7 linked regions of the Callithrix jacchus genome follow. The protein of the gene in region 6 purifies or fractionates together with the protein of the main gene of each other region. This does not show direct contact. Links are inferred from orthologs where the notes say so. Each region holds a gene or a part of one and is shown on either strand. Other genes may lie near its edges. The genes, in order: ANAPC7, ANAPC2, CDC26, ANAPC16, LATS2, ANAPC1 and ANAPC4.

Region 1 (3,500 bases), on a different chromosome or scaffold from region 6:
CAGGAGGCTGAGGCAGGACAATCACTTGAACCCGGGAGGCAGAGGTTGCAGTGAGCTGAGATTATGCCACTGCACTGCAGCCTGGGCCGTCTCAAATATACATGTACCTCCAGCAGTCAAGAAAGGATCCTAAATTTAACTTTTTATTCTTTACAAGTATTGACAGCAATCCTGGAGTTCTCCTTTAAGAACTTTTCTTTGCATTTTCAAATTAGCCTAATATGGAAAACCTGAGGCCAAGTAAAAAATAGTTTTATTTTTAGTATTTCATTATTCCATTGTTTGAATTATGGTATATTAGATTGTTTTATATAATGTAGCTCTACAATTGGAACAGATATTCTTTATCTTCAGCGTCACTCTTTCCTGTAAATATTTGGCATACCAAACCACAGATAATTGAAGAGATTGGGGTTCTTTTTTTTCTTTTGTGCCCTCACATTGACTGCTTTCTTAGTTAATAATCTAGCAAATAGTATTGTGTTTAGAACCTACTAATTTTGCCAGGTGCAGTGGCTCATACCTATAATCACAGCACTTTGGGAGGCCTAGGTGGGTGGATCACCTGAGGTCAGGAGTTCAAGACCAGCCTAGCCCCAATATGGTGAATCCCTGTCTCTACTAAAAATCCAAAAAAAATTAGCTGGGCTTAGTAGCGTACACCTGTAATCCCAGCTACTCAGGATACTGAGGGAGGAAAATCGTTTGAACCCAGGAGGCAGAGGTTACAGTGAGCTGAGATTGTGCTATTGCACTCCAGCCTAGGTGAAAAGAGCAAAATTCTGTCTCAAAATATATATATATAATTTTAAAGTGGAATATTGTGTTTATCTCTGTACTATTAGGAAGGTTTTTTTTATCACTTTCCTATAACTTCTGCATTCTTTGGAACTTTTAGATTTTTTTCAGATTTTTCTCAGTTACATGTTAGGTAGGATTATTTTTATTTAGCTTTAGCAAGTTGCATGTTTAAATTATGCTAAAATGCAGCTGCCTGCAGTCACTGGATTTAAATAGTATAGCCGATTTTCATAGCATTATTTTAGTGAATTAGTACCTAGGGGCCAAAGCCTTAAGTGTTTGAAAGGCTAGAGTCCAGCCCCAAGTCGAATTCTCAGAGAAAAGCCCAGTATTACACTGCTTTATCTGTCCTTCTGTATCATTTCCTTTTAGGGGAAAACTCATCTGATCCTTCTTAACTAGCTATGTCAAGAGTTTCTCACTTTCTTATGTGAGGTAGTTCATCTTCTGTTTTAAGATCAAGAAAGAATCGAGTTAACTAGCATTCTCTACCATTTCTTAAAGAATGTTACTCCTGTTTCCAGAGGCAGCGTCTTTTGTCCCGATATTACTGGGCCTTGTGGGAAGGTAATTTTACTTTCCTCTTAGGGATGGGAAGTACTAGGGAAAGCAAGGGTAGTGATTTCTTCTTGCTTTTGAAAAATGGGGTCAGTCTCCCTTTATTTGCACAGGGTTATGGGTAGATTTTCCAGTAAAAAGTAAGTAGCTGGTAATGAAAATTAGGACTTCTTCATTGTGAGAGATTTTCTTTGCAGTATACACTTATTTTACTGTCTGTTGTTTGTGTTTATACAGATAAACATGATGCTGGCAAACCTGTACAAGAAGGCTGGTCAGGAGCGCCCTTCAGTCACCAGCTATAAGGAGGTGCTGAGGCAGTGCCCGTTAGCCCTTGATGCCATTCTAGGTAGAGATATTTTCTGCCTGTTTTCATGGCATGTTTACTGTCAGTGATAGTAGTTCTCAAAGTTGGCCGTACATTAGAATAACTTTTCTTTTTTTTGAGACAGAGTTTCGCTCTTGTTACCCAGGGTGGAGTGCAATGGCGCGATCTCGACTCACCACAACCACTGCCTCCTGGGTTCAAGCAATTCTCCTGCCTCAGCCTCCCGAGTAGCTAGGACTACAGGCGCACACCACCATGCCCAGCTAATTTTTGTATTTTTAGTAGAGACGAGGTTTCACCTTGTTGACCAGGATGGTCTTGATCTCTTGACCTCGTGATCCACCCGCCTCGGCCTCCCAAAGTGCTGGGATTACAGACGTGAGCCACCGCGCCCGGCCTAACTTTATTTTTTAAAGTTCCCCTCCAGAGAGTGATTTAATAGGGTTTCTATTGTCACATATTCAATCAAGAAATACTTAATAATGGTTTTTGGCTGGGCTCGGTGGCTCACGCCTGCAGTCCTAGCACTTTGGGAGGCTGAGGTATGTGATTGCCTGAGCTCAGGAGTTTGAGACCCTCTCTCTACTAAAATAAAAAAATTAGCTGGGCATAGTGGGGTTCGCCTGTAGTCCAGCTACTTGGGAGACTGAGGCATGAGCATTACTGGAACCCTGGAGGCGGAGGCTGCAGTGAGCTGAGATCATGCCACTGCATTCCAGCCTGGGGGGGGACTGGAATGCGAGATTCTGTCTCAAAAAGAAAAGAAACACTAAATGATATTTTTTCTGTCATATATCTCACTTAGAATAGGAAAGCAGTTGTCTTTTAGCCGAGGGAAAATGTAGCCCATTGCTCCTTGCATGTGGAAGAGAGATGTTGTGCCTTACCTTCTTTCTCCTGCTTTCTGTTGGTTTAGGCTTGCTGTCCCTTTCTGTAAAAGGGGCAGAGGTGGCATCCATGACAATGAATGTGATCCAAACCGTGCCTAACTTGGACTGGCTCTCTGTGTGGATAAAAGCATACGCTTTTGTGCATACCGGTGACAACTCAAGAGCAATCAATACCATCTGGTGAGAGCCACAAAGTTAATTCAGTGTTTTTGAGGCCCTGTCCTTGTCTAGAAGTCTGATGTATCTGAAGGAGCAAAAAGAAAAATAAGATGCTTCTCTCTTGTTGCTGCAGCCAGTCTCTGGGCTATGTTAGTCTTTTATACTGAATGGTCCCAAATGTAATCATGTTTTCATGTCTGTTGGGGACCAGTAAAAATGTAAATCTGACTTAGTTTAGTTCTGCACATGCACAGGTAGTAACCCTTGCAAAGCAAAGCAAAGCAGTCTACCTTGGTGTATCATTCTTTTTTTTTTTTTTTTTTTTTTTTTTTTTTTTTTTTTTTTTGAGACAAGATCTCTCTCTCTCTCACCCAGGCTGGAGTGCAGTGGTGCAGTCACAGCTCAGTGTACCCTTGACCTGTCGATCTTCTGGGCTCAAACCATCCTCCTGCTCAGCCTCCTGAGTAGTTGGGACTACGGGTGCATGCCACCACACCCAGCTAATTTTTGTATTTTTTTTATAGAGATGGGGTTTCACCATGTTGCCTAAGCTGGTCTTGAATTCCTGGGCTCAAGTGATCCTTCCACCTGGGCCTCCCAAAGTGCTGGGATTATAGGCATGAACTACCACGCCTGGCTTTAGTGTGTCATTCTTTAACCTGGAAGAAAATCATTTTGCACTCCCCAGAAGCATAGTTTATTGCAGCATCTAACTTGACTTGCCTTCTTAGGACTGGGGATTTTCTTTCTGTTCAGCTAAAGTT
Region 2 (3,500 bases), on a different chromosome or scaffold from region 6:
GGGCATGGTGGGATGGGAGGGGGGTGCCCTATCCTTGCCAAGGTGCCTATCAGGTGACACCCCTGCCCCCGCTGTGCCAGGGAAGTCCAGCTCCAAGCGGCGCTCCTCAGACATTATCAGCCTGCTGGTCAGCATCTACGGCAGCAAGGACCTGTTCATCAATGAGTACCGCTCGCTGCTGGCCGACCGCCTACTGCACCAGCTCAGCTTCAGCCCGGAGCGGTGAGGCCAGGGAGGCGCCAGCCGTCTCCAGGGGTGCTGGGGCCCTTGCTGAGCCTGTCAGGACAGGGCCTGGGCCTGGTTGGACTGTGTGCCACCCCCACTCCTGGCTGGGGCTGAGCTGGCCGCCGGGGTGCCACGCAGGCCCCCTGCTCTGCCCGGGAGGTGCACCCATGACTGCTACAGGTGCTGCTTGGGACTGCAGCCCCTGCGACCCCCGCCCAGACACTGGTTCGTCTCTCCAGGGAGATCCGCAACGTAGAACTGCTGAAGCTGCGCTTTGGCGAGGCCCCGATGCACTTCTGCGAGGTCATGCTGAAGGTGGGTCCCGCCTCGCCCACCGCCCGCCACCCCCAGGCCCCCGTGACACCAGCTCCTCCCTCAGGATATGGCGGACTCCCGCCGCATCAATGCCAACATCCGGGAGGAGGACGAGAAGCGGCCGGTGGAGGAGCAGCCGCCATTCGGGGTCTATGCTGTCATCCTGTCCAGTGAGTTCTGGCCGCCCTTCAAGGATGAGAAGCTGGAGGTCCCTGAGGACATCAGGGCAGCCCTGGAGGCTTACTGCAAGAAGTACGAGCAGCTCAAGGTACCTCCAAGCCAGCCACCCCACAGGGCTCTCTGCACCTCACCCTGTGCTGCGGGCTCAGCAGCCTGGTGCCTATGGCCACCCCATTGTCTCCCGAGTGTCTAGGGTTGGTTATGTCTCACAGCCATCCCTGCAGGAGATGGAGTGGGCCCAGTCCACACTCCCTCTGCCTTCCTCACAGTGAGCCTGTGCCCCCTGTGAGCCAGCGTCCCTCGGCCCCACAGGTGCTCGGGTGGGCTGTGCTAGGCCCACATCTCCTGTGCTGCTTCACGGGGACTCCCGTGGCTCCAGCAGGCCGCACCCACTGAGCATTTCCTCCTCTTCTGCCATCTGCCCTCTGCCTCTCAGAACCAGGACTTGGGGTGCCTTGTGTCACTGCAGGTGAGGGCCAGGGAGCCAGGGCCACCCTCTGCCCAGGGCAGCGCTCCCAAGCGCACCTGACCCTGGGGCCCCAGCCCTGCCCCTGTTTCTAGATATTTCCCGGAGAACTGCATTTGCAGGTTCCCATGGTGCTTGAGGACCAGGGCTGTGGGACTGTGGTGGGAGTCGGGGGGAAGCAGACGTGGGGACTGGAGGAGCGAGCCCTGGCCTGGAGGTGCTGGCAAGTGGGGCCAGCGTGCCCAGAGTGGTGGTATCGGCCGTATTTGGCTCACGTCTCCTGGCAGCACCACCAATCCCAGCAGTCCCAGAACAGGTATCCAGGGCCCTGGGTATGGGACCACGCTTGGAGGTTTTTTCCCTGAGCTCATGTTCAGGTGAGATGTTTTGGGTCGAGGGAAGAGGTTAGGACCCCTGTGCAGCCAGGTCCCAGGGCTTTCAGTCTGGTGTGTGGGGCCCGTGAGGCCTCCGGTGTGCCCAGCGAATGCTCAGGCCTGGGGGGAGCTGAGCACCCCAGCAGGGGACACGTGAGGAGAGGGTCCTGGGGCAAAGCTGGTTTCCAGGCTGCAGACCCCAACCCCAGGAGGGAGATGGGCCAGCCGCAGCCTGGGCCAAGGCCGGCAGGTGGGGCTGAGTTCAAAGGAGGGTCCCCAGCTTCTCCAGGCCTGCTGTGACAGACGCTGGGTCTAGATGTGTTTCCTTTTTTTATCTGCCAAGTGAGAGGGCCTTGCTGTGTTGACAGACTAAGGAAGCTTATTCCTAGGGGAGGGCAAGGTGATGAGTCCACTTTAGAAACTAAGGGGGAAGTTGCAGAGACAGACAAGGGGAGGGCCAGGTAGAGGCACCCGGGGCAGGAGGCGGAGGTTGGGCCAGGCTGCTGATCTTGGTGGCGAGTGCCTGCTGCCTCCCTCCAGGCCTCAGCTTGGCTCTGGAAGAGTCCAGGTATCCCCCGCAGCTTGCCTGCCCCGGTGGAAAGGAGGGCCCTGGCCATCCCCCCACCTCCAGCTCCAGCCTGTGTCTCCAGAGTCTGCGGGCACCGAGCCTCCCCCGCCCCCTGCCCCCCGCCCTGCCATGTTCTGGTACAAGTCATTGGTGTGGCCGGGCTCCATGCACAGTCCCTCTCCCACTGACCCTCTGGCTGCCTCAGGCTCTCCAGTGCTGTTTCTGGGCGAGGCTCCCCTGGCCTCCCTCCAGGGTCCCCCTGGGATCCCAAGTGTGGCTCAGCCACTTCCCATTCCTCGGGCCTGACGTCCTGGGGCAGCCATACTCCAGTGCCCTTTGTCTTCACTTCACGGGATACAGGATGGCTCAGGAAGGTGCCGGGCTGTGCTGAGAGGTCCCACTAGCAGAGCTCCTGGCCTAGGGGCCTCGCTGGGCACATGGCTGGCATGCAGCCCTTTGCATCTGTACCTTAGGCACTTTGCTGGGCATGTGCTGGCATGTAGCCCTCAGCATCTGCACCTGAGCTCACTGGGCACATGGCTGGCATGCAGCCCTCAGCATCTGCACCTGAGCTTGTTGCTCCTGAGCCCTTCTTCCATTCTGGTGCAGGCTGATGAGTGGTGTTCGTGGAGGTCACGGCCCTGGAGCCAGAGCCAGGACCAAGGCCAACCACTGACTCCACCTCTATCTTCTGTCCGTAAAGTGGGGTTCGTTTCCTTTAAGAGCTGCCAGATTGGCCTGGCGGGGTGGCTCACGCCTGTAATCCCAGCACTTTGGGAGGCCAAGGCGGGTGGATCACGAGGTCAAGAGATCGAGACAATCCTGGTCAACATGGTGAAACCCCGTCTCTACTAAAAATACAAAAAATTAGCTGGGCATGGTGGCGCGTGCCTGTAATCCCAGCTACTTGAGAGGCTGAGGCAGGAGAATTGCCTGAACCCAGGAGGCGGAGGTTGCAGTGAGCCAAGATCGCACCATTGCACTCCAGCCTGGGTAACAAGAGCGAAACTCCGTCTCAAAAAAAAAAAAAGAGTTGCCAGATCCTGGAAGGGCTTAGGAGCCTGTGGCCCACAGAGCAGGCGTGTCAGTGCCCTGGTGCCACCAGAACAAAGTGCCACAAACCAAGGGGCTTAAAAGACCAGAAATGTATCATCTTATAGAGGTCAGGGTGAGCAGGGCCCTCTGGAGGCCCTAGGGGAAGGCTGCTTCCTTGCCTCTACCAGCTCTCTGGGGGCTGCAGGAGCTCCGGGGCTTGTGGATGGCTCGGTCCAGTCTCTGCTGCGTCGCCCGGAGTGTTCCCCTGTTCTGTTTGTATCCCCCTCTTGGACACTCACTCTACTCCAGGGTGACTTCATCTTAATTATATCTTTAA
Region 3 (4,090 bases), on a different chromosome or scaffold from region 6:
ATAGGGTCTGCTCTAAGAAATAGTGTCTGCTCTTTGCCCAGGCTGGCGTGCAGTGGCATTACCTTAGCTCACTGCAGCTTCAACTTACTGCGCTCAAGCAATCTTACTGCGTCAGCCTCCTGAGTAGCTCGAACTCAGGTGTACACCACCACACTTGGCTAATTTTTGTGTTTTTTGTAGAAATGGGATTTCTCTCTGATGCCCAGGCTAGTCTCAAACTCTTGGGCTCAGGTGTTCCTCCCTCCTCATCCTCCCAAAGTGCTGGCATTACAGGCCAAAGCCACTGTGCCCAGTGACTTCTTAAGTCTTTAGGTATGTCATTATTACATTTTTAATACATGACGGAGATCCACAACTCTGAAAAATCCAAAAACTATTCTGTAAGAATTTAAAATAGCAAACTGCCTAAAAGAGAGAAATTCCAGGCAACCATCACTTTAATTTCATGTTCCAGTCACGTTCAAAGAAATATTCTAGCTAAAAGAATAAACTGTCACATCTTAACTTAGTATAGAGGGGAAAGTAGACAAACCGCTGAATTTAATCTACATGAGGACTGTCAGAGATTTGTGATCACTCCTGAATGCTAGAATCAGTTTGCTAAATCTCATGAAAACGCCAACTCACCAATTCACAAAATTATTCTCAGCGTTTAAACAGATCCTAAATGTGTCCGTCATTCATTAAACAAATACTTCTTGTGCTCCAGCTACAAAGTTAAAAGGTACAGTCATAATCTGTGGAGAAAACAAAGAGAAAGCTTTGATATTGCATAATGAGAACTCTGATGAGGGTAAGGCACTGGCATCACACGGGCACCTAATCCAGTCTGGGCTGAGTGTGGGGTGGACAAGGATGTCAGGCAAGCCTTCCTGGAGAAAATGATGTCTTAGCTGACTCACTCCCAAGAGCAGGCAGAGAGAAGAGTGCACAAAGGAGACTCAAGACCAGCTCTGGAAACCTAGCAAGACCCTGTCGCTACAAAAAAGTAAAAAAATTAGCTGGGCTGGTAGTGTGTGCCTGCAGTCTTAGCTACTCAGGAGGCTGAAGTGGAAGGATCCACCTGAGCCCAGGAGTTTGGGGTTGCCACAATGAGCCACGATCTCACCATGAGACCCCCAACTCAAAAACAAACAAAAAAAAAGAAGTAGAAAACAGGCTCAAGAGAGCATTCCACAGCCTGAAATCGCAAAGTAAATGTTAATAAAAACTGTTTTTGTTTTGTTTGTTTTTTGAGAAAACACAACTCCTCCAATTGAGTTTAATATTTGTTGATGACATCACTTGTATATTCTCCACAGCATCCCCTAAAATCCCCTAGAGTGTATCTATAAAAAACAGTCAGTAAGGGCCGGGCACGGTGCCTCACACCTGTAATCCCAGCACTTGGGAGGCCGAGGCGGGCAGATCAGGAGGTCAGGAGTTTGAGACCAGCCTGACCAACATGGTGAAACCCCGTCTCTACTAAAAATACAAAAATTAGCCAGATGTGGTAGCGGGCGCCTGTAATCCCAGCTACTCAGAAGGCTGAGGCAGGAGAATCGCTTGAACCCGGAAGGCGGACGTTGCAGTGAGCCGAGATCGTGCCACTGCACTCCAGCGTGGGTGACAGAGCAAGAGTCCGTCTCAAAAAACAAAAAACAAAAAAAATCTGCTATACATTTTACCTTTTCTGCAAACTGTGAAAAACTCTCCACTAGGAAGAAGTATAGAGTAACAGTTAATAGTGTGGCTGTAGAGGTTAATCCCACTACACCACTGATCTTGAATAATTAGTTTCATCTCTCACTAGACCTTAGTTTCCTCATCTGTATCTGACTCTGCTATTGTTGGTGAATAATATAATGCAGAGTAAAGAGTAAGCTCTTGGAACATAACTTGGCATTTTAAAAATGTGCAATAAATAAAATCTATTATTACTGTAATTTTTCTAGGGGGTTGGATGGGGATCTGGCCAGCTAGGGAAACCTCAATGTTTTGAGAATCATCCACCTCCCACGTGGAGATAAAAGCCTTATCCTGGCCGGGTGTGGTGGCTCGCTCCTGTAATCCCAGCACTTTGGGAGGCCGAGACGGGTGGATCGCGAGGTCAGGAGTTTAAGATCACTCTGGCCAAGATGGTGAAACTCCGTCTCTACTAAAAATACAAAAATTAGCCGGGCGCGGTGGCCGGTGGCGGTAATCCCACCTAATCGGGAGGCTGAGGCAGGAGAATCGCTTGACCCGGGGTCGGGGTGGACCGAAGGTTGCAGTGAGCCGAGATCGCGCCACTGCGCTCCCAGACTGAGCGACAGTAAGACTCCGTCTCAAAAGAAAAAAAAAAACTTACCTTGTTTGTCTCTAATTCCCCAGCATCCAGCAGGGCACAGGGACGTACAGAGCTATCTGACACCTTCCTATCCATCATCTTACTCTCAATCTGATACAACGACCGGCTCTAGACAAATCAACAAAGTCAGGCCGAAGCTCTTCCGCCGGGTCTTTATTTGACTTTGGCACTAGGGAGCTCTTCTAGCAGCCTAAATCCACCGCGGAGCCATCAAGCTCAGAGGGGGCCCCTAAGAAGACTTCCGGATTGTGGAGAAAAACAGCCCTTGTCCCCTAGCTCCAAGCCTGTACCTCGGATCCCTGGCGAGGATTTCCATGGTAACAAGGTCTTCAGCTCCAGGAAGACTTAAACGCTCCGGTAGGCCCGGGTGGCACGGCGGACCCCGGAAGTCCTCGACTCGCTCCAGAGTTCAGCCCCGAGCCGCGCGACGCAACGCACCTACCTCTTTTCAAGCCTGTTCAGCCCCTTCCCGGAACCTCCGCTCCCCCAGTGAAACTATTGGTAAGCCAACTGGACTACACTTCCCAGACTACTTGGAGCCTCTCTCTCAGCAGAATCTCGTCTTGCGCGAGCTTTCTCCGATGTTCTAGGAGGCATGCCCCTCAATACGATCACACCGCTTCCTACTACGACTTCCATCATGCTCCGCGCCGCTCCGGGCGCGGCTACGGCTCTCGGCACACGTCCGGTCGGTGACGCACTTCCGATCGGTGATGCTCATCCGCTCTGCTGGGCGCGCGGTGGACGATCTGAATCGGAGACCTCAGGTTTCGCTGTAGCTTTTCTCCAGAGCCCGGCATGGCTTCCTCGCGAGCTTCCTCCACGGTACAGAGCCCGGGATCTCAGCTCACTCTGGCAGGAAGCGCGAAGGGGGAAGGGGGTCCTTGCGGGAAGGGGCCGTTAGGGAACGGGAGAAGGCGGTGGAGGGCCGAGGAGGAAGGCTGTGGGACTCCGTGTCCTAGACAGCCGAGCACCGTTTTCCTGATCCCTAAGCGCTTTCGTGGACTATAGCTTATTTGCACCTCTCCGACTACATCCCTGAAGGGCAAACATCTCTTCGGACTGATCCAGTAACGGTGCTCTGAAATAGGGAAGTGTCTTGGCCAAGATTGATGCCTTTGGCAGATCTCAGAACTTTAATGAGACCTACTAACTCCTACTGCCTCAGGTCTAGAAACGTTTGAAATATATACGCTAGTAATCTTGTAACTTGTTCTTCTTTAGCACCGCGTTAGTTATTTCATCTATATTTGGTACTTCCCCAGTGATGAGCAGTAACCCTGGAAGCATCGTAAAACACGAGATTGCACACTTCCAACAGAATGAAGTAAACAGATTGCAGAGCAAACCCTTGATAGAAAAATACCCGAGAGAACCTCACTAGTTTTATCAATCCTGTCAACCAAAGTGAGGGACTGAAACACCCTCCCCCTACCCTCATCTCCTCAAATCAATGAAGAACATCTTAAGCAGTGTCCAATTTGTCCTTTCAATTACAGAGGAAGTAGGACTGTGAAACTCAGGGTGAGCTTCATCCTCTGGGGAAGTCCAGCAAATTGTTAAGATTAAGCGTTAGTTTAAGTCAGATTTTTGATTTAGCAGGCAACCAAAACTAAAGCACCTGATGACTTAGTTGCTCCGGTTGTGAAGAAGCCACATATCTATTATGGAAGTTTGGAAGAGAAGGAGAGGGAGCGTCTGGCCAAAGGAGAATCTGGGATTTTGGGGAAAGAAGGACTTAAAGCAGGAATCGAAGCTGGA
Region 4 (4,221 bases), on a different chromosome or scaffold from region 6:
AACTTTCCAAATTGTATTCATATCCACAGAGGCAACAATTTTTGGAGTCAGATTCATATCCAATCTTCTGGACTGCAGTGGGTCAAAATATAGCCTGACAAGTTTTTCAACTGTTTTTGAACTTAAGCAGTGATGGATCAGGTCCAAATCTTCATGTGAATTCCTGGTGGGATTCAAATAAAGCATACAGATAACTTAGCCACCTTTTGGAGAGTAGCTCAGTCTTTATTTCTCATCAGTTCAGAGTGGAACCCACTGTGAACTCTTTATATATCTCACCTAAGATTTAAAACTCTATTTTTCCTACACCCTGATAAATGCTCTATTCAGTTGCAAATGCTTTATACTTTATATTTTGAAGTCAGTTGCTCAGCAGAGCACCCAAGCAACTGCCAGAGTGAGGACAGCTTCAAAAGTTAGCCACAGTGTGACTTCTAAGCTGAATATAATCAAAGGAATTCCCTTTCATCTTGTTTTCTTTCCAACTCTCAGAACTACTATCATTCCATACACAAAACAGCCAGGATTAAAAACTGGAGCACAGAATTAGCACAAAGCTAACTGTAAGTAGTTTTCTGCTGAGGTGGAAGGATATATCAAAGTATTTTCTAGCTCTAAAGATGTAGGTTAAATTTTGAATGCTACCAGCGAGTGGTAAATGAGAGTAAAGCAAAACTAATACACCCTAGAGATTGTAACTGCTCTCAAGGCAGGCACTAAGTAATCACCAGAACCAAACATAACACCTGGCCTATAGTGGGGAAGTAGCTGTTCATTTCAGTAAATGCTTGCTGAATGAATTAAATGTTTCACAGAAACCACAGATTCCTTAAAGGTCATCTAATCCAACTTCCTCATTTTATACATGAAAAAATAAAACTGAGGTATAGAGACAATTTTAGCTTATCTGCTGTGACATTTTGAAGCAATGGCTTGTTGGCATGTCATTTGTCATGTGCAAGGTAAAGCAGCATAGCGGGTAAGATTATGAAGCCTCTCTGCCTGAGTTCTGGTTTCACTACTTACTTGCGGCATGACTGTGGACAAATAATTTAACCCATTTATGCCTAGTGTTCCATTACTGGAACGCTAACCATGTGGGAGTAATTTATATCCGACTGCTCAAGATCATCGCCAAGGTCTGATGGCAGAAATTCAAAAAACTGCAACCTCCAGCATATTTAATATTTTTGTTCCTTGGTTGTCTTATCTGCAAAATGGGAAACAGGTTGAAATGCTTGGAACTGGAAGTATTTTGGATTTCTTTCAGGTTTTGGGATATTTGCATTATACTTAATGATTAAGCCTCCCAAATTCGAAAATCTGAAATTCAAAATGCTCCAATTAGCATTTCCTTTGACCATCCCCTCACTCAAGAAGTTTTAAATTTTGGAGCATTTTGGATTTCTGGATTAGGGATACTCAACCTGTAATAGCGGCAGCTACCTCACACAGATGTGACAAGATAAGTTAATACATGTAAAACGCTTGGAACAGTTATAGGCTTATTAAACACTTCATAAATCTTAGCTATTCAAAATAATTAACGGAGAGTTACTCCCGAGTTTTTCCTATGCAGATCCCAGTTTTTCATGCTTACTATGAAAAAACTTCATGGAAAAAGTTTTAATTCTCTCTATCTAAAACAGTCAGCAAGCTCCCAGAGGGGAAAGAATCTGTTCAGGAGGAAGGCCAATGCCCTCTACTAGGCACTTTACACTTTCATTTTAAGGTTCACGATCTTAAGAAACATACTGCTACCTTCGAAAAGTCTTTCTACCCTCAATGCCGAGCACAGAACCTGGGTCACAGTGTTTCCACTGTGCTTCCAGTCCCGGGCATTTCAGATGAATGAATGATGAACAAATGACAGAACGCAGGGCATGCAGCTCAGCAAAGGTCAAGCAGGAGGTAAGAGAAGTGCGGTGTCATGAGTACTGGTCCATTAAGTTTTTTTTTCTCATTGTGCAGATGTATTCGCACAACTCTATCTTCGACTAGTTGGCCGGGCTCACCGGAGGTGCTTAGTAAAATTTTGTTGAGTAAATACTGATGATTAAGTATCCTGGGACTTGGCCCTGTCAGGGAGGTTGGGGCTGGCAGTGGAGATCCTCACAGGAGAGTAATGATGCTTTCTGGACACAGATTGCTGTGTCCGAGCTAAGATGCTTAAACATTTACTTCATGTACTCGCATTCATAAATTCCTTTCCTTTCTAACAGATATATGCCTATTTTCTTAAAAAGTAATTCCTTAAAAGTTCCTACCCTAGTACAAATTACAAGAAATCATTAAATTCCATCAACAAATTTTTCCACTTAAGAATAGCTGGATTACAACCCAAACCAAATAGAAGCCGCAGCTGGAACTGCGGGGTGGGACGTGGAGAGAAAGGGGCTGGAGAGGGAGCCGTCAGAACACTAGCGGCTCCCAAGCAGACTCCTAGCCACGCTACCCACCCAGCTGGGTTCCAGGAAACGACGCCATCGGCGCTGTCCCACTGCGCAGTCTCCACCCCTCGGCCCGCATGCGCAGTCAGTCCAACCCGGCCTGGGGAAATTTCCTTTCGCACGTCTTCTACAGCAGTCTCCTGTTTCTCCACCTACCTTCTCCATTTTCCTAGTCCCTGCAGGTAGGATCCTAGGGGTTAACTCCCTTTTCACCAAGCTCCCAAGGGCCCTTGAGCCCTCGGCTTCTTACCTCAGCGGCTTTAGCACTTTCCCCTACAGCCCCACCCCCAGGGTCCGCCGGAGCTGCTGCGCATACCACGACCAGGACGACGGCGTGCTCGCGCCCTCACAATGGGAGCCGGCGGCGTGCGCGCGTCCGTGCGTGGTGGGCGTGGCCAGGGCTGAGACGCGAGTAGGGGAGTAGGGAACGCGCTCCAGGAGAGGACTTCCGGCTCCTTCGCCTTCTCGCCCTGTCTTGGTTTGCCTGCAGTCCTCTAGCACTCTTCTTCTCTTTGATGATTCGGGGCCTCGGCTTCCCTCACGGTATTGCAGAAAGACACAGCTTTCCTCTTCTTCTCCAAACCACCTCGAAGCAGGGTTAAGTTGGTTATTCCCCTCTTTCCTTCTGAGCAGTCTCGTAGCGCAGGGCCATGCAGGGCAGGTAGATGCTACTTTTGCTGTCTCCCGGACCCCGGTTCTTCGGGAACTTGTGGCCTGAGGTCCCGACCTTCACCTTAGTCTGTTTTTGTGGGAAACTTTTTTTTTTCAGCTTTCCCCTTGAAGGTTTTTTTTTTGTTGAGAATTTTAGAGGCCTCGGGGAATAGGCCATTGGGGTATGATGTCATCGACTGTTGCTAATTATGTGCCCTTTTCCTTCATCCCTGTCGGTTTACCTTCTTTGTTATTTTTCACGAAACCTCTTCTTGGTTCTGTAAGCACACAAACCATCAATTATTACTATTTTTAAACATTTTATTTTATTTTTTTGGAGAGGGAGTCTTGCTCTGTCGCCTAGGCTGGAGTGGAGTGGCGCGATCTCAGCTCACTGCAACTTCCACCTCTCAGGCTTCCGAGTAGTTGGGGTTATAGGCGCCCGCCACCACGCCCGGCTACTTTTTGTATTTTTAGTAGCAACGGGGTTTCACCATGTTGGCAAGACTGGTCTCGAACTCTTGACCTCAGGTGATCTGCCCTCCTCGGCCTCCCAAAGTGCTGGGATTGCAGATGTGAGCCACCGCGCCCAACCCAAACCATCCATTAAAGTGACTTATTTGCTGAGGATTGGACTGAACATTAGTGTTTTTATTAAGGATCGACTTGTTTTCTTTGGAACTCTTCAGTATTTTGGGCTTCAAGACTATTTGGGCTTCAAGCTGTACATGGTAGGAATATTGGTGCAAGTTAACCTCAGCTAGCCTGTGAGAACCTTTGTTTCCTAAATTATTGATTAATTAAGTGGTGTGACCAGAAGCTTGGTTTCTCAGTGAGTGATGTGCATTTTGTTGGGCAGTGGCCTGTAGAAATTGGATTCCTTCCATCAGCAATATGTTGGTCTGAGAACCATATTGGTTAAGTTGTTATTTTAACTGTGCTTTGACAGGTAACCAGCTGATTGGTATGAATGTCTAGCATCTCTGAAAGTACTTAGGGGTATTTTTTTTTTTCTGGGTGGTTAAATTTATTAAATATCCCTCATTGTCTTAACTGTCTTGCTAGATAGATACGAGTGTGCCCAATGTGGTGGCTCACGCCTGTAATCCCAGCACTTTGT
Region 5 (3,955 bases), on a different chromosome or scaffold from region 6:
TCTTATTGTAAAAGCATTTCCCTCCCACCAAAGGAAAGCCCCTCCCATCAACCCTGCGATTTGCTAAGGAACATGTACAGCTCCAATTTACACTTAAACTATTTCAAACTCAATGGAGAAGCTAGAAAAATCCCTTCCAGTTATATAATTGTATGATTCTAGTAATTCACCGTAATAATTTTGCAAGACAGGCTAGCCTCTGCTCAGATACCTTAAACTGCCTGAGATTTGGAGAGTTATTAAATGTTCACAAACTCATTTTCAAAGGAACGCTGGTATATTCATTAAACAGTACCTTCTATACCTGCATAATGGGACAAAATTTTGTGAGAGGCTGAATAACATATCTTGATAATTACAGTTAAATAGACATAGTAAAAAATTTATACATTCTCATTTTGGAGTTTTTCTGTTACTATCTTATTACAACAGTTGTCACAGAAGAAAAAAAAAAACCCTAAAAACATACAAAGCAGCTTACTAAAAATATACAGCGAGATTTAGTACAAATTTACTAATAATCAGCCCTGAGTTACTTTTTCCATGATTAAGGGAAGGCCTCTCATCTTCCAAGTTAAAATTTTAAGCAGAACATTTGTGTAAGATCACACACATTTTGTGATTTCCCATTCAAATTCCAGTATATATGTTTCTTATTAAAATATGGGCAAACTTTCCTTTAAAATGTACATATTTATTGAATATTTTGTGAAAAAGAGCTGTTCAGCCATTAATCTTAATTATCTACTGGCCAAATGTATGAATACTCTATGGCTTCACAGTTAAGGTGAAAATTTTTTTAATGCTATTCATTAAAAACACTTATATCTGTGCCAGAGAAGCGTGAAAATGTAAAAGTTCTTGTTCAAATTCTCCTCAGGTGGGGCGTGATGGCTCACACCTGCAATCCCAGCACTCTGGGGGACCGAGGAGGGTGGATCACCTGAGGTCAGGACTTCAAAACCAGCCTAGCCAACGCAGCGAAACCCTGTCTCTACTAGAAACACAAAATTAGCTGGGCTGGTGGCCGGGCCCTGTAGTCCTAGCCCCGCGGGAGGCTGAAGCAGGAGAATCGCTTGAACCTGCGAGGCAGAGGCTGCAGTGAGCGGAGATCACACCACTGCCCTCCACCCTGGGAGAGAGTGAGATCCTGTCTCAAAAACAAACAAAAAAACAACAAAATTTTTGTCAACAAAGCCTGCAAGTTAAGTTCTTTCAAAGTGATCCTGGCAAAACAGCATTTCTCATCAAAAGGCCTCAAAACAGCCTCCTAGCCGAGCTCACCCGGGACCCTGTTACCAGCTGCCTGGAGCCCCGGTCGGGTGGGTTTTACCTTCTTCAGGGTCCATTCCTCGCCTCGCCCCACCCCACCCCCATGCCCGCAGCCCCCGGGACACTGGAGACTTGGACTTCGCAAACGGGTTTGCGCCAGGCCGCACTCCATCCCCGAGGGAAAGCTCCCAGAAGTTCTAGAGTTGGGCTGGAGGAAGTGATGGCAAGAAGTGAATGATGTCAGAATCCCCATCTCCGGAGTCCCGCTAAGGAGCTACAGGCAGGTGAGCTGGCATCAGAAGAGAAAGCCAAGCCCCCCACACGTCGCTAAACGAGGGCACGGGAATGGCGTGTTATGCAACGGCCGCCGCTCGCATGGCCACGAAAGCGCTCCTGCGCCTCGGGCCGCGTCCCGCCAAGACCACTAGCAAACTCGCAGCGTCGGCGCGGCCGCCGGCCGGGAGACGACGAGCAGGGCCTGGCAGCCCACGGCCCGGGAGGATCGGCGCCCCAGTGGTGCGGCGGCCTCTGAGGGGCTGACTGGCCGGCGGGCCCGCGGAGCGGCCGCGGGGGACTGGGTGGGAACCGCGCAGCCTGGGCGAGGCGGCACAGCCACCAGGGGCTAAGGGGCGGCGCGGCCTCGGCCGGGTACGGCCGTGGGGCTGTCGGCTCGCGGGACGACGGGGTGGCCGGCGGGGGCAGCCGGGGCGGGCCCCGAAGGATTGATTGGCCCGTGGGACGATGGTGCGGCCCGGAGAACGACGCCGTCTCCGTGGGACAGTGGCGCGGCCGGACGCTGGGGTCTCGGGGCTGTCAGGGGAGCTCGGCTGGGCGTCTGGTGGAAAGCCGAGCCCCGGGGGACAGCGGAAGCGGAGGCGAACCCCGCGCTACGGCCCCTTCGGATCTGGGGCACCGCCCCCGGCCCGCGCAGCCCCTGCCCCGTCAGGATCCTGGCCGCCCCCGCCGCAGCACAACAAAGCAGCGCAGCCCCGCGGCCCCCACCCGACGCCGGCCTCCAACTTCCCCGGCTCCTCCGGAACCGGCTCCGCGGGCTCTGCACGGCCGAGACGCCGCGCCGCCGGGCGGGGGCGGCTCCGGGCGGGCGCGGACCGTGGGGGCAGGGCGCAGGGCTCAGTCCGGACAAACTTCCTCGGCCGCCCCGCCGGGCGCCCTTCCTGGAGCCTCGGTCCCACGGTGAGTGCGCGGAGCTGCAAGGCTCGACCGCCTCGCGGTAACGCCGGCCACCCTCTCGGCTGCCGCCCCGACCCCTGCCCCCGGCCCCCTCACCTCTTGGGGCGCGGTCTACACCCTCGGGGGTGTCCTGGCCCGCGGCTCCCGGGCCTCGCGCGCCAGGAGACCGGGCACTGGTGGCTGGAGCTGCTGCTGGCCCCGCAGGGACGGGGGAGCCCCGGGCGGCGGCGGTGGCGTGGACGGCGGCTGCTCCATCTTCCCGGGGCGCTCACGCCGCGGTTCCAAAGCGCAGACCCAAGTGGGACATTCGCTACATTGTTGGCATTCCACGGGCGTCACGTGACCCCGCCTCCCGCGTCACTCTCGGCCGCATACCAGCCCGGGCGGGGCGCCTGCGGCCCCTGCTCTTCGGCGGCCGCTCCGCCCCGCCCCGCCCCGCCCGGCCGTGCTTCCTGCCTCGGGCCTCGGCCGCCACCTGCCCGCGGCCTCCCTGCTGCCCTGTGGTAGCTCGCCGGGGGCCTCTCGGACCTATTTGACTCTGTGCTATCCGCCCCCAAACTTGAGTATTTGCCCTCTCGGCTGCACTTGTATTAAAAGTTGGTAACAGTCGTCAAAGGCACTGTTCTTAAGCATCTCATACTAGTCTTGGTGGGGGAAAAAAAAAGTTGGCAAACCTGAAGGAGCCACCAAGTTGCCAACTAGGGGATGGACACTAAGAATAGGGGAAGAAAAAGGCGGCTATTGAGACAGTGGAATCAAGCAATTAAGAAGAACGTCTGCCGGGCACGGTGGCCCACGTCTGTAATCCCAGCACTTTGAGAGGCTGAGGTCTCCTGAGGCAGATCACCTGAGGTCGGGAGTTCGAGACCAGCCTGACCAACATGGAGAAACTCCATCTCTACTAAAAACACAAAATTAGCCGGGCATGGTAGTGCATGCCTGTAATCCCAGCTACTCGGGAGGCCGAGGCAGGAGAATGGCTCCAACCTGGGAGGCAGAGGTTACAGTGAGCCGAGATTGACCAATTGCACTCCAGCCTGGGCAAGAAGAGCGAAACTCCATTTTTAAAAGAAAAAAAATAAAAAAGAACGTCTGATGCACACCCAGATTTGATCTGATTTAATTTAATCGACCTCCCCTCCCTGTGTATATTTTGTTTCCAAGAAGTGCTTTATGGTGTAGGGAATAGTACTGTATACCAGCAAGTGAGGTCGTGGGTTTTTAACAGCTCCACCATCTATCCATTTGAGGACTGTGGATCTGCTACAGGGACAGAAGTGGGGATTATGCAAAGATTCAGAGTAGAAATAATAGACTGGAAGCCAAATCCTTAATCTACTTCTGGCTCTAACATTATACTTCTCACCACCCATGTCTGTGGCAAGTGATGCTGAGGGTCAATATACTTTTAAAGTAAACTCGATTTTCTCTTTAATTGATAAACTCTTGTGAAATTTTTAAATTTTACTCTCATGGTAAACAGTAATAAAGG
Region 6 (4,105 bases):
ATAATTCAGAGGCTGGCTGCAGCTGGCGAAGTTGAAGGTTCAAAGCATTAGGGTGGTGCTTGCAGTGGTCTCGACCAAAAGGAACAAATTCCTGCAAATCCCTGGCTGCAATCATCGTTGTCCTTTCTTCATAGAAGTTCGACATGGGTTCCAAATATCAACATTATTTCTGTATGAATTCAAACACATTCTGGTCAGCTTCAAAACTCAAAACTAGAATAAAAATACCACAAACACATAAGTCATTAATTCTTACATGAATGTCAAATAATTACATCATGTTGGTAAGTAGTCATAACATCAAAGGGCATTCGAGATCTGATTCTTTCAGGCAAACGCAGTTATCACATTTTAGTCACAGACTGACAGTTACCATTACAGGAAACCACTGAGTTGCAACAACGAGTTGTGTCCCACACCACCTAGCTCATGTTTCCTACCACTATACACCAATTTTTCCATACTTTATATATGAAGTATTTAGACAAGTTGTACTCTACAGTACAGTTTATTACTACAAAAATGTGAACTGTTAAAGCCTTCACCACAGGTTAGGAAGCAGCCAGGCTTTATACAAAATACAGATAAGCATAATTTGGTTGCCCTTTAACCCACTTTCCTGTACCTGCTTATATACCATATTTCTATACATAGGATTTTTAATGTTAGGAGCCTAAGACTTTTCTTTCGAAATGATGCAGGCTAAAGACCCCATCAAGGAACCACATCAGCATGAGAATGTGGTTTGTCTCTCCATCCTAGGACTTCATCCTTCATTCTCCGATCAGTCAATACCTTAGCCCACTAACCTCCAAACTCTTTGAAACCTCTAGACCCTAACTCTCTGGGGAGACAGACTTGAAGTTTCCTCAGTCTCCTAGTTTGGTGGCTCTGCAAGTAAAACACTTCATCTGCTGCAAACCCCGCTGTTTCCATATATTGACTTGCTGCTCATAAGGCAAGAGACCTAAATGGCCACACAAACACCCAAGGCCTACGTAGTTCCTATGCAGCCCCTCTAAGGTGACAAAGTTATTTTGCTGTCAATTAAATGTTACTCTTGGCCAGGCGCGGTGGCTCAAGCCTGTAATCCCAGCACTTTGGGAGGCCGAGAAGGATGGATCACGAGGTCAACAGATCGAGACCAACCTGGTCAACATGGTGAAACCCCGTCTCTACTAAAAATACAAAAAATTAGCTGGGCATGGTGGTGCGTGCCTGTAGTCCCAGCTACTCAGGAGGCTGAGGCAGGAGAATTGCCTGAACCCAGGAGGCGGAGGTTGTGGTGAGCCGAGATCGCACCATTGCACTCCAGCCTGGGTAACAAGAGCAAAACTCCGTCTCAAAAAAAAAAAAAAGTTACTCTTAGCCGACCGCGGTGGCTCACACCTGTGATCCCAGCACTCTGGGAGGCAGAGGCAGGCAGATCACTTGAGGTCAGGAGTTCGAGAGGAGCCTGGCTACCGTGGAGAAACCCATCTCTAGTAAAAGTACCGAAAAAAAATAGCTGGGTGTGGCCGTGGGCGCCTGTAATCCCAGCTACTGGGGAGGCTGTAGCACGATAATCGCTTTGGGACGTAGAGGTTGCAGTATTGAAAAGACTTGAACTTGGAACACAACTAAAAAGTGCCTTATAAAACTTACAAGAAAACAAAATTCAGCTGGTCTTCCTATATTTTATTCAACAAGATAACCAACATCAATGAACTTTTGATTTTATGAAACTTTAGTTCTGCAATTTTATAATGTTATTTTGTTTTTTTGTTGTTGTTTTTGGTTATGTTGTTTTTTAAAGACGGGGTTTCACCATGTTGGTCAGGCTTGTCTTGAACTCCCAACCTCAGGTGATCCGCCCACCTTGGCCTCCAAAGTGCTTGGATTACAGGCGTGAGCCACCAAGCCCGGCCTATAATGTTATTTTCTTATAACTTTGACAGAAAACTATAGACTTATTTAAAAATTATCATTTTGTACTGATTAAGGCCACATATTTAATACTTTCACAATAACCTAAACTTTTAGGAATATTTTTACTTGTTAGGGGCAACATAAACAGCTACACATAAAAATACTATTAATTCATATGCTATAAATAAAAATATCAGCAATGATTCCTACAGAAAAACACTACCCTGCCAAAAAAACGGTGGGGGGGACCCAAATGCACACCAACCGGAGCCTGAGTTAAGTCTCCACAATAAGGAAGAACTTCCCCCAGCCATTCTAGGGAACGGTGAAAACAGGCTACAAGCCGGGGCTCAGAAAACCAGCTCAGAGAGACTGGAGGCCAATTTAGAAGCCGAGGCTGAACACTGCATGCAGCGCACAGCTCAGGTAAGAGGTTAGCAAGCAGTGAGTAGAAGGAGCACCCCAGCCCGCAGGCCGAGCCCCCTCGGCCGAGGGGCACACTCAGAGCCCTCCCCAGGTTCCAAGTCCCCCAGGCTCCCAGCCCTAAGGCCATCAGGGGCGGATCGGCCTCGGGCCAGGTGCTAGAGTCACGCGGCATGCGACAGACCACCCAAGTACAGCGGATCCGGGGCCGCACCTGTGTAACTCGGGACGCGTCAGGCGCGGCGAGACCCGGCTGCTCCCCGGAGGTGCAAGGGCCGAGGAGGCCCGAGGGCAGCGGCGGGGTCCGTCACAGTGACTCCTCGACCGTGGCAGCTTCTCATCCCCTCTCCTTCCCGTTTTCTGGAGGAGAAATGGGCAACAGCAGCGGGTACGAGTCCTAATGGCAGGCAGGCGTGCGAGACGTTCAAATGCACGCGTCCATCTTGACTTTCCCGTCCGGCCTCGCTCCAGGGCGGGGCATCGCTGTAGGCGCGCGGTGGCCTAGCAGTCCCGGCGCCTGCGCAGTTGCGGGAAGACTGCGGCCGGGCAGAACTTGTGGGCTCTTTCCACCTGGCGTGTGACTGATCCGATCCCCAAAGCAGGATTGTGTCTGCCAGAGTCCATAGAGTGAAAGGATTCTCCTGCCGTCCAATTTCTCTTCAGGCCATGTCACTAGGGACCTAAACTGCCTCCTTGATCTCAGGTTTTTTTCTGCCTGGTTTCGCTTCTTCCTCTTGACCCCACGTGAAGGTAGGCACATCTAGGCAGAGGGTGGGGAGCAGGGGTTGCTGATTTTCTCTACGTGCCGGTGCTCTATGCCCTTATGCAGTCCATACAATTCGAAGAGTCGATAAACCGTATGAAGGTCCTCATAGAAACGTTGTTTGCAATTCCCAGATTCAGAGACACTTCTTGAGGCGATTCAAAGACCCAGGTTAAGAACCCCAGCGGCCACTCGCGCCTGTTATCCCAGCACTTTGGGAGGTGAAGCAGGAGGATCGCTGGAGCCTAAGAGTTTGAAACCAGCCTCGGCAATATAGCGAGACCCTGTCTCCACAAAAGAAAAATGTTTAAATTAGCCTGGCATGGTGGCATGCACCTGTAGTCCCAGCTGCCTGGGAGGCTGGAGAATCACTTGAGCCGGAAGTTCGAGGCTGCAGTGAGCTATGATCGCACCACTGAACTCTAGCCTGGGAAACAGAGCAAGACTTTGTCAAAAAAAAAAGAGTGGGTTATAGGAGAAAGGATAGAAACAAAGATTCGTGAAACAGTTAAAGTTAAGAAATAAAGGCCGGGCATGGTGATTCACAAATGTAATCCCAGCGCTTTAGGAAGCTGAGGCAAGAGGATCACGAAGTCAGTAATTCTAGACCAGCCTGGCCAACATTGTGAAACACCGTCTGTACTAAAAATACAAAAGGTTAGCCTGGCGTGGTGGCACGTGCCTGTAATCCCAACTACTCGGGAGGCTGAGGCAGGAGAATCGCTTGAATCCAGGCAGCAGAGCTTGTAGAGAGCCGAGACCGCGCCACAGCACTACAGCCTGGGCAACAGAGCGAGACTCTCTGAAAAACAAAAAAAAAGAAAGAAAAAGAAAATAAAGAAATACAAATATACCGAATTGATACTTTAAACTTTTTTAAAGAAAAAACACGGAGCCGCGGTGGCTCTGGCCAGTTGTACTGGCGTTTGAGGAGGCAAGGCTATAAATTCAAGGCCAACCTGAGCAACATACCAAGTTCTCATTGATTAACAAAAAAAAAAAAAAAATTTC
Region 7 (3,500 bases), on a different chromosome or scaffold from region 6:
ATTTATAATGTGCATTAAAAAACATTTAACTGTAATACCAGAAAGACAGTTTTACTAGTTACCTTGTAGAATAAGTCCCAGTGAACTGATATGCTGCAGAATCTTCACTGTTATATACTAAAGACAAAGGCAGCTGGACCAAGAGTCTATCTCTTCCTTCACGTCCGATAGTGTCTTTAAGAACTACCGTTACAGTTTCATCATCATAAAACTGTGCATCTAAACAACTGTAGATGCTGGAATTAAAATAAGTTTTGTTATATCAAAGATGGTCATGACTACTGAGAAAGTACTGTATGTATATTATCCTGGCAGCAAGCAGAAAAAAAAATTAAAACCTAAGTGACATTCTGTACAATAACATTTAAAATACATCATTGGTTTGTATTAAACTCAATTACTTTTTGCAGTGATTATTCACATATATAATTAGATCTTAAAAATGGGTAATCATGACCCTCCAGAATCTGTGAAGCTGTTTCAGTTCTAGAAAACCCTTGCCTATCAATGGTTAGGCCTTAAGCCTGTGGAAATTCTATGAATGACACCTTACATACACATTCAGAAAACAGACTTGACTCGACTGAAAAAAATAAGATATTACCTATGAAAAATAGGCACAGCAACTCCAAAAGTTTGTCATAAAACAAAAACTTCTTTTATGTGAGGGGAAAAAAGTGAGAAAAAGATCAGCCTGTGATTAGTCAGTTTTTTCCCTTGCGAAGCCTTGGGGACGGCTTAGGTACTGTTACCCTTTTGAAACCTGAGAAAATCTCCGATCACTGAGAATGGCATCGCCTCATAATTTTTTGGCCCTAACAAGTATTTCGGCCCCGTAGGCTATCTGCCCACTGGAAGCACGTTACTTTCTTTGCCAACAGGGAGCTCAGAAGTAGTAATTATAGGAAACCATATGACATAAACTCCTGCAGGGCAGTAAGGTTCTATTCCATCGTGAGTCAAATCATTCTCTATGTATAAATACAAAGAATCCTGCCTTCTATTTTGGCAGTGACAAAGCCCTTTTGCCTATATTATCACCGTAACTGAGTCTGATAACATTCCCAAACGTACACACACATATGTGTATGTACATTTCATCCAAACAAGATGCAAGACTTACCTTCTTCTGACTTTTTCCGTTGTGGCATATGTAAAGCTCCCAAATTTAATAGCAATTAGTCCATTACTTACAGATCTTAAAGAAGGAAGGGAGAAAAACAGAGACGCTGTAGAACAACCTTGATAGTCAATAATCTAAATGCTTAGAAGAACATGATTGTCAGGCTCGGTACATTTACCTAATACCAAATCCCAGACCAAAAACACCATTGTTCTTCTCTAGAACACTGAGAACTGGCTTAAGCGCCTAGACAGATAAACCAACTTGGTTTAAAATCATACAGTCACCAAAGTAAATAGATAACTTAGCCAGAGACAATTTGGAATAGAAATAACCAAATTATTTTTGGTTACATCTTGGGCTCAACATTTTCTTCAAATTCAGATTTAAAACCATTTTTAAGATACCAATGGCATTCTAAATATGCTTTATTTTTCAGAACTTTTACTTTGAATTTCAAAGGAAGTAGGCAAGGCCTCTTTTTTAATGAAAAGTATACTTAACCCTAGGCAAAAATCACTTCTAGAAGGCAGCCACTTTTAGAAGTTTATGACTTCTAAAATGTTACTTTAACTTTTTGGAAGTTTTTAACTTCTAAAAAACGAGATATAATATCCTGAGTTTTCTGCTGTCATATTTTTCCTAAATCTAAAGAAAAGTCCTATACACAATGATTATATGCCAATACGAAATTAATCTACAACAAGATTATATGACTTCCTAATTCCATGTTACCATCTTAATTAGATGAAAACTAGCAAATGACAAATCTAAAAGTAACGAAGTAGTTTAAAATCTGAAATGCTGGAAGGCTGTACGCTTCATTCTTAATAAAATCTTATCTCTTTGATTCAGATTAATACTTACTGGGAAATATCAGTATGTCTCCTTAAGATGCACATTTTATAAAGTGAATCTTCTAGAATAGTAAAAAGAAGGTAATGTAGATTTGAAGTTTTATTATTCCACCTAAGAAAAAAAATTGTCATAACGTTTTTTAACTGTTGATGGCTAAAACAAAATTGTATTGTTCACGCAAGATAGGGAAGAAATACACACTTACAGAAAAGGAAATTTGAACAGTCTACGTGCAGTGTCTTCACTAAAATAAAATGGAAAAAGAAATGAGAAAAATTTAAATGGGCTGCCAAATTACACCACCCAACAGGTAAACAGGATTACCTTCTGGTATCTCGATACAATGGAATACAGATTGCTTGATTCATCGATTTCCCAATTACATCCTATATAAAATAAGATTTTTAAAAACAATTAAAGCATTTATATGCACATAGATACTCTACAGAAAGTGACCATCACTCTTCGAATGTAGTAAAAAAAATCATCTATATCACCAAACCTTTATGAGAAACTTTAGTGACAGTTTTGACAGTGAGGAAAAAGAAAATTCTGAGCTGAAAAGGACCTTGGAGCTGAGCATAGGGCAGGTTTAAGACCACCCCCCCTCTGGTCTCATAACAACCCTTCATTCACAGCCTTCAGTAGTAAACATGAGACACATCAGCTCTGTAACTAAGACTGTTTACAGTGAATTTCTTCTCAGAACAAATAAAATACTCAAGATGCCAACACCTTTAGTAATCTTTATACACACACACACACACACACACTCGTGTGTGTAAGAAACTAACAAAAGTATTAGGTTGAACCATATGAAATTGTACTTTTGTTAGTCAAAAACAGCTGAATATCAACATTTTCATAGTTCATTCTAAAAACTAAGATCATTTACATAAGTGAGCCACATACTGTAGTCACTATTGCTCCTACACAAAGACATGCATTTCTTTCAAACTTACTGCTGGCTTTTGCAAACACTGATCAATAATGTTCTCCATCCGCCTTTTCACAAAATGCAATGATTTTCGAGGATAATAAGGAAACAGCAAAGGACTTTCTGGTTTCAAACAAAAACAGAAACAAAAATAAAAGAAGCTATAGCAAACTTATAATTAAAAGAAAATAATCTACTGTTAGAGGCAGTCTGCACAGTTTATCTCAAGGTAGAATTTTCACTGATCACTTCACTGGATTTTCACACAACCTCATTAAAACGACCAGGGCCTTTTCTGCCTTTCATCAAACCCCACTGACAGCTCACTAAAAACCACCTCACTTAGTACAAGCTTAGACTCACCAGAATCCAACTGTATGTTTCTGCTGGCTATAAGAAGAAAGGAACGATTTGGGAACCACCAAATATATGAGGAAATAAAGTTCATTCTTCTCTTCTTTGCCACAGTGAAATGACAGTAACAGTCCAGTACTGTTTTGTAAGAGTCTCAAAAACAGGAGACTGGAAACTAGCTCTATATAAATAAGCTCTTTACGTTTTAAAAGGTTACTTTACCAGGAG

Evidence for each region.
Region 1: the proteins of ANAPC1 (region 6) and ANAPC7 fractionate together in Homo sapiens (co-fractionation; 6 studies listed by BioGRID and IntAct, with this or other methods). This does not show direct contact. The link is inferred for Callithrix jacchus from reciprocal best matches to the Homo sapiens genes ANAPC1 and ANAPC7.
Region 2: the proteins of ANAPC1 (region 6) and ANAPC2 fractionate together in Homo sapiens (co-fractionation; 8 studies listed by BioGRID and IntAct, with this or other methods). This does not show direct contact. The link is inferred for Callithrix jacchus from reciprocal best matches to the Homo sapiens genes ANAPC1 and ANAPC2.
Region 3: the proteins of ANAPC1 (region 6) and CDC26 purify together in Homo sapiens (co-immunoprecipitation; 6 studies listed by BioGRID and IntAct, with this or other methods). This does not show direct contact. The link is inferred for Callithrix jacchus from reciprocal best matches to the Homo sapiens genes ANAPC1 and CDC26.
Region 4: the proteins of ANAPC1 (region 6) and ANAPC16 purify together in Homo sapiens (co-immunoprecipitation; 5 studies listed by BioGRID and IntAct, with this or other methods). This does not show direct contact. The link is inferred for Callithrix jacchus from reciprocal best matches to the Homo sapiens genes ANAPC1 and ANAPC16.
Region 5: the proteins of ANAPC1 (region 6) and LATS2 purify together in Homo sapiens (affinity purification with mass spectrometry; 3 studies listed by BioGRID and IntAct, with this or other methods). This does not show direct contact. The link is inferred for Callithrix jacchus from reciprocal best matches to the Homo sapiens genes ANAPC1 and LATS2.
Region 7: the proteins of ANAPC1 (region 6) and ANAPC4 purify together in Homo sapiens (co-purification; 13 studies listed by BioGRID and IntAct, with this or other methods). This does not show direct contact. The link is inferred for Callithrix jacchus from reciprocal best matches to the Homo sapiens genes ANAPC1 and ANAPC4.

Annotation. Positions count from the first base shown.
Region 1 is NC_133510.1:113,296,502-113,300,001, reverse strand, and holds part of ANAPC7 (anaphase-promoting complex subunit 7), read left to right. Parts: intron 1-1,596; coding exon 1,597-1,708; intron 1,709-2,603; coding exon 2,604-2,757; intron 2,758-3,500. UniProt on the Homo sapiens protein: Component of the anaphase promoting complex/cyclosome (APC/C), a cell cycle-regulated E3 ubiquitin ligase that controls progression through mitosis and the G1 phase of the cell cycle.
Region 2 is NC_133502.1:185,590,107-185,593,606, reverse strand, and holds part of ANAPC2 (anaphase-promoting complex subunit 2), read left to right. Parts: intron 1-80; coding exon 81-222; intron 223-464; coding exon 465-540; intron 541-604; coding exon 605-808; intron 809-3,478; exon of another isoform or gene 3,479-3,500. UniProt on the Homo sapiens protein: Together with the RING-H2 protein ANAPC11, constitutes the catalytic component of the anaphase promoting complex/cyclosome (APC/C), a cell cycle-regulated E3 ubiquitin ligase that controls progression through mitosis and the G1 phase of the cell cycle.
Region 3 is NC_133502.1:161,586,204-161,590,293, forward strand, and holds the start of CDC26 (anaphase-promoting complex subunit CDC26), read right to left. Parts: upstream 2,801-4,090; 5' UTR 2,772-2,800; exon of another isoform or gene 2,330-2,771; intron 738-2,329; 5' UTR 681-737; coding exon 628-680; intron 1-627. Other genes in the region: PRPF4 (U4/U6 small nuclear ribonucleoprotein Prp4), read left to right, coding at 3,128-3,154, 3,929-4,090. UniProt on the Homo sapiens protein: Component of the anaphase promoting complex/cyclosome (APC/C), a cell cycle-regulated E3 ubiquitin ligase that controls progression through mitosis and the G1 phase of the cell cycle.
Region 4 is NC_133513.1:57,949,907-57,954,127, forward strand, and holds the start of ANAPC16 (anaphase-promoting complex subunit 16), read right to left. Parts: upstream 2,801-4,221; 5' UTR 2,701-2,800; exon of another isoform or gene 2,538-2,700; intron 2,514-2,537; exon of another isoform or gene 2,460-2,513; intron 1-2,459. UniProt on the Homo sapiens protein: Component of the anaphase promoting complex/cyclosome (APC/C), a cell cycle-regulated E3 ubiquitin ligase that controls progression through mitosis and the G1 phase of the cell cycle.
Region 5 is NC_133506.1:140,730,844-140,734,798, forward strand, and holds the start of LATS2 (serine/threonine-protein kinase LATS2), read right to left. Parts: upstream 2,801-3,955; 5' UTR 2,560-2,800; intron 1-2,559. UniProt on the Homo sapiens protein: Negative regulator of YAP1 in the Hippo signaling pathway that plays a pivotal role in organ size control and tumor suppression by restricting proliferation and promoting apoptosis.
Region 6 is NC_133515.1:22,696,194-22,700,298, reverse strand, and holds the start of ANAPC1 (anaphase-promoting complex subunit 1), read right to left. Parts: upstream 2,801-4,105; 5' UTR 2,546-2,800; intron 170-2,545; 5' UTR 146-169; coding exon 1-145. UniProt on the Homo sapiens protein: Component of the anaphase promoting complex/cyclosome (APC/C), a cell cycle-regulated E3 ubiquitin ligase that controls progression through mitosis and the G1 phase of the cell cycle.
Region 7 is NC_133504.1:168,427,738-168,431,237, forward strand, and holds part of ANAPC4 (anaphase-promoting complex subunit 4), read right to left. Parts: intron 3,042-3,500; coding exon 2,944-3,041; intron 2,368-2,943; coding exon 2,306-2,367; intron 2,226-2,305; coding exon 2,187-2,225; intron 2,093-2,186; coding exon 1,991-2,092; intron 1,199-1,990; coding exon 1,124-1,198; intron 237-1,123; coding exon 63-236; intron 1-62. UniProt on the Homo sapiens protein: Component of the anaphase promoting complex/cyclosome (APC/C), a cell cycle-regulated E3 ubiquitin ligase that controls progression through mitosis and the G1 phase of the cell cycle.